Arabidopsis thaliana: one gene and its partners. The protein of the gene in region 1 binds, or shares a complex with, the protein of each later gene. Each region holds a gene or a part of one and is shown on either strand. Other genes may lie near its edges. A codon is read from its position in the direction of its gene.

Region 1 (5,075 bases):
CCTTCTTGCTCGATACTTTGCTCTGCCTCTCGTCTTCCTTTGGTGAACCGCTCGCGACTAAAGTATCTGAGCTCGAAACGCACAAGCTTCTTAGATGAACCGATCGCGATGAAGAGATCAATTTATTGTTCCTCCACCGAGGAAGTGAAGAAACCCTAGAAAGTGGGAAAGAACGAATTGGAAGAGAGACGCATTTCGTATGGAAACATGTGATAACCCCTTCCATCGGAATTATCAATTCCAAAATTCCGATTATGTCGAAACGTAAAGATTCTCCGGCGACGATTCTGAGGATTTTGCTCCGTTCTTCTTTTGCGTTTTCTCAGATTATTTTTTTCATTGAGGATAAGAGAGGGAAATGGAGAAATCAGGTTGAAAACGAAATGGGGAAGATGCGACATAAAAAATGAGTAAAGAAATAAAAATCTACGTGGCGCTTAGCGAGAATGGGCCTGAAACTAGCCCACCACAACAAGGAGTCTATCAGATTCCCCAAACGACACGCAGTTAAAAACGAGTTTGATACGACGCCGTTGAGACTTCTCTAACCCTTGCAAATGATAAAACGCTCGCGTAAGTTAGCACGAGAGATACACGCGCAAGGGGAAAATTTTTTAAGTAAAAGGGAAATAAAAGATTTGAGGGTCCATAATGGTCTTCTCTACTTGTTGGCAATTGTGACAAAAATATGAAACTTTTTAAACCAACAAAAATGAACAAAGAAATCAAAAGTAACATTCTCAAGATTCACACTACGGTTGTCTTTGAGCCAAGTTTTGTTGGTGCTTCTCGACTTTCGCTGTTTACATGGAGAACTTCTGAGGAACAGTATCGAAATCGTCTCCAAAGTCGTACCTTTGTCTTTCCCTTCCTACCTGAAAAAAAGTAGTCAAACGGCTTAGTCAGAGAAACATGGGTTTCCAGGACAGAAGACTAATGGAATATGGTATTAAATTACCTTTCCCAAGTATAAAGGGTCACATGATAAGCTCTCATCCATGGCTAAGAGATTCTTCGACAGACCAATAGTCCTGAAATTTTTATCAAAACACATAACTTGTTTGATGCTACTACTTTCCTTTGGCAAAACAGTCATCTCCATATCAACTTGATTCCAAGTGCTAATTATGCACTCCTTATTACGAGTTTCAACATTCAAGCAATGTTTCCCAAAAAAAAACCATATCAAAACACTTAGTTCTGTAGACATACCTTTGTATAACAGAATCCATGATCTCAATCATCTCACTAGATTTGTACTGCTCAGGGTCCTCCAAGAATCTGACCATCCCGTCTTTCTGGTTGATAAGGGCATGTATCTGACCATCCTGGATCTGCAGGTTTGTAAAGAAAAAAATGATATTGTCCAACATACCAGTTAAACTAATAAAGCTAGCTTCCAAAAATCAAGTGTGGGACACAATACCATCTGAAGCACATGCATTTCCGCCTCCTTAGCATTACCAAGTTGGACCATGTTGGCTATATCTTGAAGCGACAGGGTCAAGTACTTCTGTGTCAATCTCAGAATGTTACGCTTGTAAAGGGATGACACTGCTTGCTTAACTAATCCAAGGTTCTTATCCTGAAAGAGCATTTCGCCCAAGTTATGGAAGGGGATGAATATTTAATATTGGTACAGAAACTATGGTAAATGTTTAGAGGCAATTTACCTCTTCAAATTCTGCATTCCTGGCCACAACCAATGCCTCTAGTTCACCAATCTTCCCGTCGTTGTAACAATTACCCAGTTCAATGTAAGGCTGAGAAAAGGGTGAACGATAAAATCATAAGCCTGAAAATAGATTTAGCTGGTATGGAGTACAAAACAACTGAAATCTTTGGACTGAAGTGAAAAAGGGACCAGACTCCATTCAAACATGAAAAATACAACTAATGATCGGGTTCAAACTTACTCCGGTATAGTTCTTGAAGCTCCTCTGTGCTGCTGTAGAAGCACACTTGGGGAGAGTGTTAGTAAACTGCACAAGTAAAATCAAACAAGATTATAAGAAAAACATCATAAGATTAACCAATGCTTGAAATTAAAATCAGACACAGGATGTAATTGTGAAACCAACATTTCTCAAAAACATACAGTTGATTCAGACTCGTGCAATATGCTCCCATGACCGAAAACTAGATAAACAAAGAAAGTAAAATATAAAGAACACAGCCTTACCTGCCCATTGTGAATGAGAGACACCAATATGTACTTTTTGTACGCCTCAAGAGCTATGGCATTGACTTGATGCATAGGAGCAGTCACAACCTGATACAAGTACTTAGGTTGAGTTAAAACTAAAACGAAAGTCCTTAATGTATAAAAAGCACGTAAGAAAAAATAAAAATGCCTTACATTGTAAAGAAGCTCTAATGCTTTCTGAAATCTCTTCAGTCCAATACAAATCATTCCCCTATCAAAAGTCCAGGTAATCAAGGACCAGAATAAGAAAATACTATAAAACAAACCCAACAGGGATGGATTTAATGTGTTTACACATCTATTGATCAAAGGAAAAAAACAGATAGCAATGAGGAAAAATTGCTTACCCATAATAGCTATAGAGAAAAAAGTCTCTTGGCTGGTCAATCTCCACGATATCATCACTAAGAATGGAGAAACCAGATTTGTACGATTTCGCCTGCAAACAGAGTTGAAGAACATCTGGATGCAATGCAGTCAAACGCTTGGAGGAGACCTGAAGCTTCTGAACAGCGTTTAACAGTGGCCCTACTCCTCGCAACGGATCTCCCAGTGCTATAACATGGTCTTTCAATATCTTACAAAGAGATACAACTGCAAAATCAATATAATAACATCATCCATCTCCCCAAAGAAAAAAGAAAAGAAAACACATTAAGACAAGATAAGCTCTCATTAAGTGTCAGTAAATTACATTTATAGCTCGCCAAACGAATCTGCCCAGCATCACAAGAATTGATGAACCGTGCAATTATCGGTATCTCATAAGCAGCTTTCTCCTTCGACACTGGACCACAGGTAAGAACCTCACTGTAACAATCAAACCATACAAAAAACTCAAAGATCAGAAATCGAATAACATAGACAATTCTCCTTGTTAAACTTCGACCTAATCACACACATCAAGTTCCAATAACCAAAATCATCAATCAGCCTCAAAGTATACACAAACTAGTAACAAAAACCTAATCTACCAATAGGTTAAAACTCACAGGAAATACAGGTAACCGAGAGAGTGCTTCGAGGCGTCGAGCTGGTCAAGAGTAGAGAAATTAACACCTGGTTCGGCTCGGAGCGAGTCTTGAGCTCCTCTCAAAAGATCGTGAAGTGCAGATAAATCCTCTGGACTCCCCGATAAACCTTGGATTGACGTTATCACAGCCTCCACCGAGTTCACAGCTCCGATCATCTTCGATACTAAGACGAAAACACAAAAACCCTAATCGATCGCCCTTTTTCTCCCTCTCAAAATCTTTTGCTAAACTGTTTGTTTAATTATCTCTGGATCTTCTCCATAAAAATACATGCTCTCATAATATATATACGAACCCTCCGAACGGTTAAGAGTCTAATACATTACTCTAGAATAATAAACCAATATCTAACCGGCTTTTAAACCAAATATTCCCGGTTCGAAATGTACCAGATGGTAATTGTCGGTTTAGCCAGACCAATTTCGGGGATGGCCTTTTATCATTCGTCTTTCCAGAGAAAGAACGAGATTGCGATCACAGAGTGTCAAAGCAATCTGCTTTTTCTCCTCTCAGATTCAAAGGTTCTCTTTGAAGCTTCGTAGGTGGTTATACTTTGATGGCGGATTATCATTTCGTGTATAAGGACATTGAAGGAGCGTCAACTCAATGGGATGATATCCAGCGGAAATTGGGGAATCTACCGGAGAAGGCTCCGGCTTTCAAACCTCCGGCGTATACTCCGGCGGAAGACGAGTCTTCAGCTCCTAAGGATCAGGCATGGTTTGATAAGAAGACAGAGGAGGAGCTTGAGGATCTTGAGGACGACAAAGATCTCGACGATGATCGCTTTCTCGAAGAATACAGGTTCGTAGATCGAATCGAACATTCTGATTTTTGTATTTACAATCTTAACTTTCCCTGGAGAATCCTTGCCTTGGTGGATTGTGAATTCAATTTTCTCGGATCTGTTGCCATGTAGCTAGGGAATGCAATTATCAAGCTCTGGTTTTTCTCGATTCGTTTGTGTTTTGGATATGAATGCAATTGAGGGTAGTATCTTATTTGAGATGTTGATGAATAGGCTAAACATAATTGTGCAACACACTTCATGATTCACAGGCACTAATGTGTTTTGATGCTTTCATAGGAAGAAGAGGTTGTCTGAGCTAAGAGAGGCTGCTAAAGTTAAAAGATATGGAACAGTGACTCCCATCTCGGGCTCTGATTTCGTGAGGGAGGTTACGCAAGCTTCTGCTGAAGATTGGGTTGTTGTATGTCTCTATAAAGATGGGTATGTTTTTTCAAGTATTCGTGAACTCTTGTTGAGCCATTCTTTACTACATGCTTGAAACACTATTAACTCATGTTTATTTCTTGTTGTTCTCTGATAGTGTTGCAGAATGTAGTTTGCTATTGGGTTGTCTAGACGAATTGGGTAGTAGATACCCAGCAACAAAGTTCGTTAAGATAATATCTACTGATTGTATTCCGAACTACCCTGATTGCAATCTTCCTACCTTGCTGGTGTACCACCATGGCGCCATCAAAGGAACTCATGTAGGCTTAAAGAGCTTTGGCCGTAGGTGCACCCCAGAGAGTAAGTTTGAATGAACCCTTGTTTGTCTGATGTAATCTGTGCTTATTTGTGTTTGATGATTATGTCATGTCTCATCTCTAGCCTTTGTCTGATCTGAGACCTGATGTGACCACATTGGCGATTGTATCATGCTTTGAGCAGATTGGTCTTAGGCACATGTCTAACATACTTGCAACTGATTTGGTTTTTCAGGTGTAGCCTTACTTCTGTGTCAATCAGAGCCAGTTCTTAACGATGGCAAAGGAGGAGACGATGACTCCTCGAGGGAAGCTGTGATGGCTGGAGTTCGAAGACAGTT
Region 2 (4,496 bases), on another chromosome or scaffold:
TTTGTTTTTTAAAATTTGTATTAATCTTTTGAAGAGTTTATTTCTAATATTTCTACAGTATCAATTTTTTTTTCTTTTTGTTTTCTAGACTTAATAATTATTTACTTTTTATATTTTTCATTATTTTTAAAAGGATGTTGATTATAACTACAAAAACTGCTTTTCACATAAACCAGTTTTAAAAATTATAAAAGAATAGTAAAATCTCTCAATAAATTTAAAATTGTTCATTTATCGATAATTTAATAATAAATTAAGAATTATTAATCTCTGATAACCCCAGCTTGTCATCTACTAGATCGACAAATGGCTCCTATTCTTCTAGAGTACCTCTCCGGTTTGAAGATTATCATCTTTTATCTCAGAGATTGGCTAGCTTGTTATAGTCGCTAAAATGATCTTCTCTTGTTTCTGCCTAATTTTGTTCTGAAAACGTGTGTTATTTAGGCTGTGTCCTTTTTGGCTCATAATATTGACTTCATCTTTTGTTTGTTTCAGTTCGTCTTTTGTGTAAACTGATCTTTTAAATGTTTGTTTTAGTTCGCCTGTTGGTGTAAACTGATCTTATAAGAGTAAAATTGGTAGGAGTTATTCATCATATACTCAAAGAGTCAAGATATGTTGCAACTTAGAATCAGTCATTGTGAAATCTCTCAAAAACGAATTCTGTTCTTAGAATTTCACTATCTTAATAGGAGATCGGCACTTAGTTTTAATGTTCAAGGTGGAACACATACTCCGTCAAGCGTTGTAGCTTCGATGAATCCACCTTTTGCTCTCTTTTAACAGCTTGTTTCTTCACACTCGCCATTTGAGAAGCTGCATCCACTGTCCATCCATTCTCTACAACATCTGTGTATATATCCAGCAATAAAGAAAACAATTATACTGTTAATTCTGATTCCGTAACATATATGGTTGTCATAAGATTCATGCCTACAATAACACTAAGCTAAGACATTGCCACAAACTCTTCGACATTTTTCAAAAGTATCAATATAAGAATCAATTCAGTAGAATTCAATAGAAATGTGAAATGAGGTACTTAATCTTTTGTAAGCAAAGGAAATTGCAGAAAGAAGCTTACAAGTTGTGGCATCATCCTCCGTCATCCCTAGGAAAAGAGCTAAATCATGGATGGTAATTGTGGAGTAGGCAGACAACAAAAGCTGAAACATCCTTTTTGTGTAAAGATCTACAACAAAACCAATTCAGAAATAGAATTAGAATCTGATGGAAAGTGACCCATAAAGGTCAGGTGTTGAACAATTGATGTGGAAAAAGGTACAACTTCACAAAATTCAGATCAACGTTTAGACATTTGGTTGGAAAAGTCTGTCAACTGCTTACTCGTTCCTCCTGTGTGAGTCTACCTACCTCTCTCTCAGTTAGACCACAGAAGCAACTACTTTCTAATGAAGAAGTGATAAGGCACATACATTGATGAAATTTGATTCAAATTCGAGTTCCAATAGTTCAATGATAAGATGAAAGGTGGTTCTGTGCATAACAGAAATCCTAAACTAGGCCTCACAAGTTAAAACAATAAAACAACTATTCGATCTCAATATGTATATCAAAGCTCAAAACCTAAAGAGGGATATGAAGTAATAAAAGTACACAACTACATAAGCAATCAACAAGCTTAGTTCAAGAAACCAATTCATACTAGCTAAGAAGTCATAAACAGAGAAAAAATTTACCTGAGAAGGCAGCAACCATATCTTTAGCTTCTTGACTCCAATCATAACCCCGAATAGCTTCATATACACCTGCATAGTCGTGTGTCCACAGCTTCTGACCAATCCCCCAAGCTGCAACAACTTCAGGCTTCCTCTCCTTGATAGCTGTAGGTATCCTTTTCCAGAGGAAACGTGCGCTATCACTGCAGTATTTCCAAACAAGCACAGCAAAACATCAAAACCAAATCCATAGTCAAGAAGGCACAACCATAACTCAATAGTTTCAACATACTACACTCACTATCAATACACAAAGGAAAAAAATGTTAAATGGGTCTCAACAACTACTAACTTGTGTCAAGTTTTAATTTTTCAAATCACTGGATAGAAACAAGGTAATGTAAAAAGCAGACTTTAGACCTTAGATTCAACCTAGGACCTAGCAATCGAAGTAGTAAGAACAACTTTGACGCGCTAAAATTCACAAGAGTTCAACGAAACAATCTCTAATTTCATAAAGGAACTAACTTTAGGTTCACAACGCAAACAAATACATCAAAGAAGAAAATAAACTCACCAATCGTCAACGTAAAAGTAACCCAGAAGATGGATTGCGTAAGGCCAATCATCATGATATTCAATTCCTTCGGAAGCAACCTATAAAAAAAATTAAGAAGCGATAAATCGAACGATTAACACCACAAAATCCACTTCACAAAACCCTAATGAACATCAGAAACAACGACAGCGAGAGAAATTACGAACCTGAAGCATGAGAGTATCGCAGATATCGGCGATTTTGTCAAAGGATTTGGCGGCCAAAGCTTCCTTAACAGGCGAAAGATCCATGACTTGTTTCGATTGCACTACTCTCGAAGCTTTTGCGAAGATGACAATTCTACTCCCAAAACCACTCCAGGGAAAAGAAAAATAAATTCTGTGAGATTTACAGGTTTTAATAATCTTTTCAATACGGTTTACTTAAACCGACCAAAAAATTGACCAAACACAAGAGGATAAATGGGCCAAGCCCACTAAGCCTTAGTTTCCCGCCAAACATCATAAAGCCACCCGGTCTGTTCCCGCCAAAATAACAAACAGTCTCTCTCACTCTCACACACACTCTCTCTCTCTCTCTGTAGCTCTCTCTTGGCGCGAGTTCTACCATGGCCGAATCAGATCCTATATTGAGGAAGAAGATGCGATTTTCGTCTTCTTCAGTTCGTTATACTACCTCTCAGAACCTTATGGCAAGCAAATTACGAACTCAGAGCAATCGTTCCTCCGTTCGATTTGCATCCCCATTGTCTCACATTGTCACGGATCTTCGTCACCATCATGCGTCACCGATCAAAGGGAAAATTGTTACTCAAATGCCCCGAACTTGTTCTCGTGTCACCGTGAAGAATCTGTGTCTCAGACGCGTATTCTCTCCTAGTTCCATCTCTAGTGATTGGGACTTTCATGTGAAAGGGGGAAATCTAACCAAGGAGCTAAATGTGGAATCTCCTTGCGATACTCCGAATTCTAATGGTAATTCTTATTTTAAGGTCTTTTTCTTGTACAAGTTTTTCTAAGAAAATTTAGGAGAATGTTGATATAATGAAGGTGGAATTAGGAAATTTCAATATCTGTTTAGAAACTATAATGATTACACAATGGTGAAAACAGTTATGAGAGAAGGAAGCAAATATCTTGTTGATGGATTAGTGGCTACTGGAGGTGATTTAGAAGTAGTGGAATGCTCACAAACGACGCCACCGGATTTAGGAATGTTCACCGGTGAGCTTTCTTTGGTGAAAAATGAAGCAGGTTCTATCAATCAAGAGATCAGTGAGGTCTCTGGGAAGAAAGTTGGTACCAATCTCGGCAGCAAAGTGGTATGTTTTTTACTCATGGTTTTATAGCAAATGATGCGTTTAAACTACAATATTGGCTTTTCGTTGGTTGCTTAATTTTCTTCTTGTGATATGTATACAGATTCGTCATCCGGAAAAGATTTTCAAGAACCCTGGCTCTGTGAGCTATAGAAGAATGCTTCCTTACTTGATGGAAGCTGCAGATGTTACCCGAGATGGTGATGCAAAAGATCCTAAGGATGAAAGAGGTGAATTGATGGCAGCAAATTACCGACTTCCTGAAACCGTATCTGCCAATAGCTTTGTTAAAGCTCATGGAAACAATAGCCCTTTCAAGAAGATGACTTCATCCAGTGGCAACAAAATTTCTGTATGATCTGTTTTTTTTTAAGAAGCTGCAGTCTTGTTCCTTATTTAAGAATCTGTTTTTGACATTTTCCCTGTTGTGACATGAAACAGCTGTGCTGCCGGCGCAAGCTATTTAAAGTGCCAGGTTCTGTAAATTACAGAAGAATGCTTTCATATCTCAAAGAGAACTCAGAGGATAATCATGGTTAGTCTCTTTATATTCATGTTTAGCACACGGTATAATTCAATGTCAGTACTAGTCAGATAATAATACTGTCTTCTGTGGCTTGGTAAATTGTAAGATAGTATAAATGCATGATATTAGCTTGTATTGAAATTATAAAGTCAGAATTGGTAGCCTTAGAAATTGATGTCTCTTTTCTTTCATTGTTCTTCTAGGAACTCCTGAAACCACGCATACAGATCCTCAGAAGAATATAGAGGAGAATGCTTCAGCTATTGAGGCTAAAGGGGCATCAAATGAAGTTACAGATTTAGATACATGCTCTAACAACGTTGAGACGCCACTAGCTGATCCAAAGAATGAGCAAGAAACTCAACTTTTGTTAGCTGAGTTTAGCTGTTAGTGTTAATCAGTTAGTAACAA
Region 3 (5,060 bases), on another chromosome or scaffold:
TATCCCTTTGTTGAATTTAATAAAATCAGTTTTCTATGTTTTCAGGAGCTACTATAAATGCACAGCTAATGGATGTACCGTAACGAAGCATGTAGAGAGAGCCTCTGATGACTTCAAGAGCGTACTAACAACTTATATAGGCAAGCACACCCACGTTGTACCAGCAGCACGCAACAGCAGCCACGTCGGTGCAGGCAGTTCAGGGACTCTCCAAGGCAGTTTAGCGACTCAGACCCACAACCACAATGTGCACTATCCAATGCCACACAGTAGATCTGAGGGACTGGCCACAGCCAACTCATCTCTATTTGACTTCCAGTCACACCTGAGGCATCCTACAGGTTTCTCCGTTTACATAGGCCAATCTGAGCTTTCTGATCTTTCAATGCCTGGTCTAACTATTGGGCAAGAGAAGCTTACCAGCCTGCAGGCGCCTGACATTGGGGATCCAACTGGCCTAATGTTGCAGTTAGCAGCACAGCCGAAGGTGGAACCAGTGTCACCACAACAGGGACTTGATTTGTCAGCGAGCTCATTGATATGCAGAGAGATGTTGAGTAGATTACGACAGATATGAAACAAATCTCTTTGTTCACTGATTGCTCAAATTTTTGAATAAATGAAAAATTGAGAGAAGGTAAAAGCTGTTTTGTTTTTACAGTCTTGTCGCAAAATTTAGTTAGGCCTAAACTTAGCTTCTGTCTAGACAAAGCTTAAACAGAAGAAAAGCTTCCTAGCTGTTTGTTTGGTTCCGAAAAGTGAAATGCCTTAAAAGAGTTCTAAATTTTCACTTAGGGACCAGACCACCAAAAGAAAGAAAAGGTTTTTTTACATTGAAACTAATCTTTACATGAACGCAGTCCTACCACCTCTTCGGCTGTGTTTGTCGTATGCAGTGTTGAATTTGTCAACCACCTCGTTCATGTTGCTGCATTTTGGGGGGAAAAAGGAGAGTAAGAGATCAAATATACAAAGGATTCTTTCAGGACATTTCGTTGGAATGAAATTGACATATGGATTGGTCAAGGTGTAGCACAAGATTAGATTTTTTTTTTAAAAAGAAGCTTATATTCCCTTAGCTACTACAGGCTCAGTATCTTAATTATAACAAGGATAATTGAGCAAGGTCCTAGATTTAGTTCTTAATCTAAATAAAACAAACTATCTCAATGTCAGCCTCAACCAAGTACTGGTGATTTCATCTGTCTTGGTATCGTAAAACATTGCATTGTATCAAGCAAAAGATTTGCATGCATGTCCATCATTCTTTTATTCAAATAGTTAAATGGAATAGCGTGTCGAGCACATACCTGGTACAATTCGTGATCATTGCTAGGTAAGACATCAGCAATTTGTCGTTGTACTCCTGCAAAAGAAGAGAACATCATATTTATAAAGATATCATTCACAACAACAAGCTACATTAAGAATTTAAGAGATTCGAAGGCCACTTTATTTAACCAACATTGCTAGAAAAAGGTAAGGTACTACTTACCATCAAGAAATTTTCATTGAACTTCTCTGATTCTGCGGCAGGCAAACTTCTGAGCAGACTAGATACTTGTCTCAGAACTGAGTTCTCACAAGGTTTATCACCTAGATGCAGAATCACATAAGTCATTAGTACCACATTACTCTTGCTCAAAATCATCTTCTAACACCCTTTTAATTCTTTCTTCCCCGTAGGAAAACACATAGAAATATTCTAAGATCAAGGGACAGGTCACAAAAGCTTGATTAACAAATTGAAGAGGGACCGAGAGTGGGGACTTGAGCAAGAATATACCTTTCTGCATAGCGACAATATGCTGGTATAGCACTCTGATTCTGCTATTAAGCATCTTGATGGCACTATGTATTCCAGTAAGATGAGCAGCCACTGCACAAAATCGAGGAATCAACCTAAAATTCCATGCAGATGAAAAAGAAAGAACAGATTATGATAAATATGAAGTGATAATAAAGCTTACACTGAGTCGCAGCTGAGCCTCCATCAGATGGCTTAAGATGTGCAACATGATCAACAGATATTCTTTCAGCTTCAACTGTCTGCACGCGTTTACAATCATTGCAATGTTATTGAAAGTCCACTCTCATATCACATAGATAGATTACAGATCAAGTGGCCTAAACACATACCTCAATTGTGTAGCTGGTATGCACGAAAATCGACTGAGGAATTCCATCAATGACATGAAATTCTTCAAATTTTGAAAACAATCAAAAAGACAGGATTAGCAAGATTATAATCTATAAAACAATAAGACAATCAGTGATGCAAATAACCAATTTTTACCGCTTTCGTAGATAGTCACAGGAAGATCCTTCTGTGCATGATTGATAGCAGGATTTAAAAGAACATACACAGGAGATTCATTAATGTCCATCAGCTGTAGATGAAAACCTCAACAAATCAGTACAATGAGAATCCTAAATTCAATTAAATTTATATTAAACATTAAAGCTACACTACTCACAGCTTTGTGGATATGCATATCAGATTCGGTAGCGTCACTTCCCGTAGAATACCATCCCAATACGTAGAAGTCAGGGAACACCTTCTTATCTAAAAAATAACAAAACTCACAAATTAGCAAGAGTATCAAACAATCGACAACAAAAGTGAGCGAGTGTAAGTAAACTTACAGAGTTCTTGCTTCTTCTCGAGGAAGGATCTGTCGAGAGTATCAAGAGCAGGATCGAATATCAGCTCGAAACTGTTGAAGATCTCAACCGTACGACCTCTCTGGAGACCGATGACGCAGCCATAAACCCTAGGGTTTTGCAGTAACATCGCGTCGGCGTTGTTGGAGCCATTCCCGGTGGCGCAAGAAGCGGCGGGAGGATTAAGCTGAGTTTTAACCCTAGTGAAGTGATCGGATATGTTAAGCATCACCAGAGGATGTAGCTTGAACGTGAGACCGCTCGACGAAGAAGGCGCCATTGTTGTCGCTCTCGATTTTTTCCCGGCGCTTGTCGTTGTCCTCCTTTAGTCCCAAATTCTGAAATCGGATCTTAAACTCGGGTCATGAATCTTTATATAGTCTTGGCCTCTTGGGCTTTCCTTCTAAGTTTAGCCCATATATAACTTTCTTTTGTTAGAAAAATAATGGAAAAGATTATAGCATGTACTTAATTTTTTAGCGTTTTAGTATATATTTATAATTTGAATATAAATCTTTGAAAGAAATATCTATTTTTTTAATATGAAATTTCTTGTATTTTAATGAATTTGAAAAATAATTATGATTGGATTTTGAATCATTTACTTCTTTTTTTTTGGTTTGAGTATATAGAAATAACATAAAGATCATAATGAATTAATTTTATTTAATATTATTGGATATGTTTGTAAGTGTTACTATTAAAATTTTATTATGTGTGTAGTCTGTTTTAATTCTTCTTTTCGTAATATATATATATATATATATATATATTGATATTTTAAACTATTTTTAGTTTATATAACATATCTTTAAATATGTTTCCTATGTTGTAAGTAGTACCTATCAATATTTTACAGAATATTACAGTTTTGTATTCTGAATGCAATCTTTTAAATTAAATTTCATTTAAATTTCATAAAAATAGTTAAGGCTACATTTAAATCTGTATTATTGTTATTTCATTAATTAAAAATATAACTGTATATAGTTTATGAGAAATCCCACATTAAAAGTGGAAATAGAATATGAGTAATATACAGTATATAAACCAAATCTACTCATAAACAATTAGTTTTGAGTTTGGAACCATAAAACTTAATATAGTAAATTGATAAATATGTTATTTTAGATTCTATATATACCATATATAACTCCTAGTCTCCTATGATATATCTGTCATTACATCGTAAATTGCTTATCACTAGCCAGTAGCCACCAGCCGCAGCCTCTGCACCCTTACTCATATCATTAACACATTGCTGGCTTGCAAGGTACAATCTTTAGTTATGTCATTCAAGTCTTCATATTACGGTAGATTTTTCCAACCGTATTGTTCAAACAATTGTATCCGACAATATAATCATGCATGGGATCTCGTCAAACTCTAACGACATGCTTTTTGACTTATGATAACTTTTTTTCTTTTCTTCAGTCAATCTTATCAAGTCATCGTCTACGCTTTTTTCCACCATCGCCTTCACTTTGAAGAAGCGTGAGTGTAGGTAGTGCTATATACTTGTGGGAAATTTGGGAATATGCTCATTTACATTTTTACATGTATAGACATAAATCTTTAGGTTGGATATGTGACATATTATTTATGATTCTTTTTTCAATTTATATAAACTAGTAGACCACGATTTAGTTTTCTCACTGATTAGCAAATGATGGATTTGGTCCGTATTGAAAATAAAAGACATATATATATATATATGTGTGTTCCGTTTTCCTGAAATCAACTGCAAAAAGTTTTCAACAAACGATTAAGAAAAATGAAAGTGACACATTAACACGTTAGATAATGCATTAACAAAATATTCTTTCTTTTCTTTTTTCTTCATTCTTTTTACCTTCGTTTATAGGAGGGAAGAAAATGAACCAGAATTTTGTTGATATTGAAAAACCAATCCGAATAAAGAATCTACGAAATGACACTATACTAAACTCGTTCTATGGTAGAATGTCTTTGCACCCGATAGCAAAAGTTATTGTAGAAAACTATTTTATACCTAAACAATTCACAAACCTCGGAGAAATGATATTGTTGTATATTTAGAAATGTATATCAAAAGAAGAAAATAGTCTTTAGTGGACACTGACAGACAACGACTAGTTTTATATGTAACCATCAGTTCATCTTTCTAGATAAAACCAATGTTAAACGCAACTGCTAATCTCTTCTTCTTTTCTTTTGTCAACCACCAAGGCACCAACTGCTAATCTCTTTAGACTCTAGAGATAGCGAAATATCTTCATTATTTCATAATATACATAACAATTTTATTAATCCTTAATTCAAAATTGCTTGGAAAACACTGATGAAATTAAGCATCTACTAACAGAAAGTTTTGTAAATTTTCAAAAACTTTCTCCTAACGTTCCTCTCGGAAATTG

Evidence for each region.
Region 2: the proteins of COP13 (region 1) and COP9 are in contact, whole or in part, in a cryo-EM structure (PDB 9IS6), measured with the Arabidopsis thaliana proteins. Residues at the interface, in NP_568296.1 of Arabidopsis thaliana: Asp121 (codon at 2,753), Leu123 (codon at 2,747), Arg124 (codon at 2,744), Pro128 (codon at 2,732), Ala157 (codon at 2,645), Lys158 (codon at 2,642), Gly193 (codon at 2,401), Leu194 (codon at 2,398), Lys195 (codon at 2,395), Lys332 (codon at 1,456), Glu335 (codon at 1,447), Met336 (codon at 1,444), Leu339 (codon at 1,435), Gln340 (codon at 1,432), Ile342 (codon at 1,334), Gln343 (codon at 1,331), Ala349 (codon at 1,313), Leu350 (codon at 1,310), Ile351 (codon at 1,307), Asn352 (codon at 1,304), Gln353 (codon at 1,301), Lys354 (codon at 1,298), Asp377 (codon at 1,229), Ile380 (codon at 1,220), Gln381 (codon at 1,217), Ile384 (codon at 1,027), Lys388 (codon at 1,015); in NP_193147.1 of Arabidopsis thaliana: Met26 (codon at 2,456), Leu27 (codon at 2,453), Ala30 (codon at 2,336), Ser31 (codon at 2,333), Gly33 (codon at 2,327), Ile34 (codon at 2,324), Glu35 (codon at 2,321), Tyr36 (codon at 2,318), Asp56 (codon at 1,884), Phe60 (codon at 1,872), Arg64 (codon at 1,860), His89 (codon at 1,785), Tyr91 (codon at 1,779), Leu125 (codon at 1,169), Ser128 (codon at 1,160), Ala129 (codon at 1,157), Tyr130 (codon at 1,154), Ser131 (codon at 1,151), Thr132 (codon at 1,148), Ile133 (codon at 1,145), Thr134 (codon at 1,142), Asp137 (codon at 1,133), Phe141 (codon at 1,121), Met166 (codon at 811), Arg187 (codon at 748), Glu190 (codon at 739), Tyr191 (codon at 736), His194 (codon at 727).
Region 3: the proteins of COP13 (region 1) and CSN6B are in contact, whole or in part, in a cryo-EM structure (PDB 9IS6), measured with the Arabidopsis thaliana proteins. Residues at the interface, in NP_568296.1 of Arabidopsis thaliana: Tyr367 (codon at 1,259), Lys368 (codon at 1,256), Ser369 (codon at 1,253), Met372 (codon at 1,244), Ile373 (codon at 1,241), Met376 (codon at 1,232), Val379 (codon at 1,223), Ile380 (codon at 1,220), Arg382 (codon at 1,214), Thr383 (codon at 1,030), Ile384 (codon at 1,027), Ser387 (codon at 1,018), Leu390 (codon at 1,009), Met393 (codon at 1,000), Asp394 (codon at 997), Leu397 (codon at 988), Asp400 (codon at 979), Leu402 (codon at 973), Tyr403 (codon at 970), Lys406 (codon at 961); in NP_567746.1 of Arabidopsis thaliana: Glu268 (codon at 1,510), Leu271 (codon at 1,501), Met272 (codon at 1,498), Tyr274 (codon at 1,363), Asn275 (codon at 1,360), Leu278 (codon at 1,351), Ser281 (codon at 1,342), Tyr282 (codon at 1,339), Met285 (codon at 1,330), Cys289 (codon at 1,318), Met293 (codon at 924), Val296 (codon at 915), Lys299 (codon at 906), Phe300 (codon at 903), Thr302 (codon at 897), Ala303 (codon at 894), Tyr304 (codon at 891), Asp305 (codon at 888).

Annotation. Positions count from the first base shown.
Region 1 is NC_003076.8:4,596,290-4,601,364, reverse strand, and holds COP13 (Proteasome component (PCI) domain protein), read right to left. Parts: upstream 3,498-5,075; 5' UTR 3,396-3,497; coding exon 3,199-3,395; intron 3,017-3,198; coding exon 2,901-3,016; intron 2,801-2,900; coding exon 2,554-2,800; intron 2,418-2,553; coding exon 2,360-2,417; intron 2,273-2,359; coding exon 2,183-2,272; intron 1,983-2,182; coding exon 1,917-1,982; intron 1,764-1,916; coding exon 1,674-1,763; intron 1,586-1,673; coding exon 1,427-1,585; coding exon of another isoform or gene 1,379-1,426; exon of another isoform or gene 1,335-1,378; coding exon 1,213-1,334; intron 1,032-1,212; coding exon 959-1,031; intron 876-958; coding exon 804-875; 3' UTR 530-803; downstream 1-529. Other genes in the region: AT5G14260 (Rubisco methyltransferase family protein), read right to left, coding at 1-226; AT5G14240 (Thioredoxin superfamily protein), read left to right, coding at 3,797-4,044, 4,328-4,471, 4,572-4,777, 4,970-5,075. UniProt on the Arabidopsis thaliana protein: Component of the COP9 signalosome complex (CSN), a complex involved in various cellular and developmental processes such as photomorphogenesis and auxin and jasmonate responses.
Region 2 is NC_003075.7:8,132,337-8,136,832, forward strand, and holds COP9 (COP9 signalosome, subunit CSN8), read right to left. Parts: upstream 2,653-4,496; 5' UTR 2,532-2,652; coding exon 2,448-2,531; intron 2,340-2,447; coding exon 2,260-2,339; intron 1,886-2,259; coding exon 1,704-1,885; intron 1,196-1,703; coding exon 1,088-1,195; intron 853-1,087; coding exon 713-852; 3' UTR 544-712; downstream 1-543. Other genes in the region: AT4G14120 (uncharacterized protein), read left to right, coding at 2,849-3,215, 3,354-3,562, 3,663-3,911, 4,001-4,094, 4,289-4,476. UniProt on the Arabidopsis thaliana protein: Component of the COP9 signalosome complex (CSN), a complex involved in various cellular and developmental processes such as photomorphogenesis and auxin and jasmonate responses.
Region 3 is NC_003075.7:13,353,113-13,358,172, reverse strand, and holds CSN6B (COP9 signalosome subunit 6B), read right to left. Parts: upstream 3,182-5,060; 5' UTR 2,945-3,181; coding exon 2,647-2,944; intron 2,567-2,646; coding exon 2,478-2,566; intron 2,391-2,477; coding exon 2,297-2,390; intron 2,202-2,296; coding exon 2,140-2,201; intron 2,050-2,139; coding exon 1,971-2,049; intron 1,880-1,970; coding exon 1,787-1,879; intron 1,597-1,786; coding exon 1,496-1,596; intron 1,367-1,495; coding exon 1,311-1,366; intron 929-1,310; coding exon 847-928; 3' UTR 578-846; downstream 1-577. Other genes in the region: WRKY34 (WRKY DNA-binding protein 34), read left to right, coding at 46-577. UniProt on the Arabidopsis thaliana protein: Component of the COP9 signalosome complex (CSN), a complex involved in various cellular and developmental processes such as photomorphogenesis and auxin and jasmonate responses.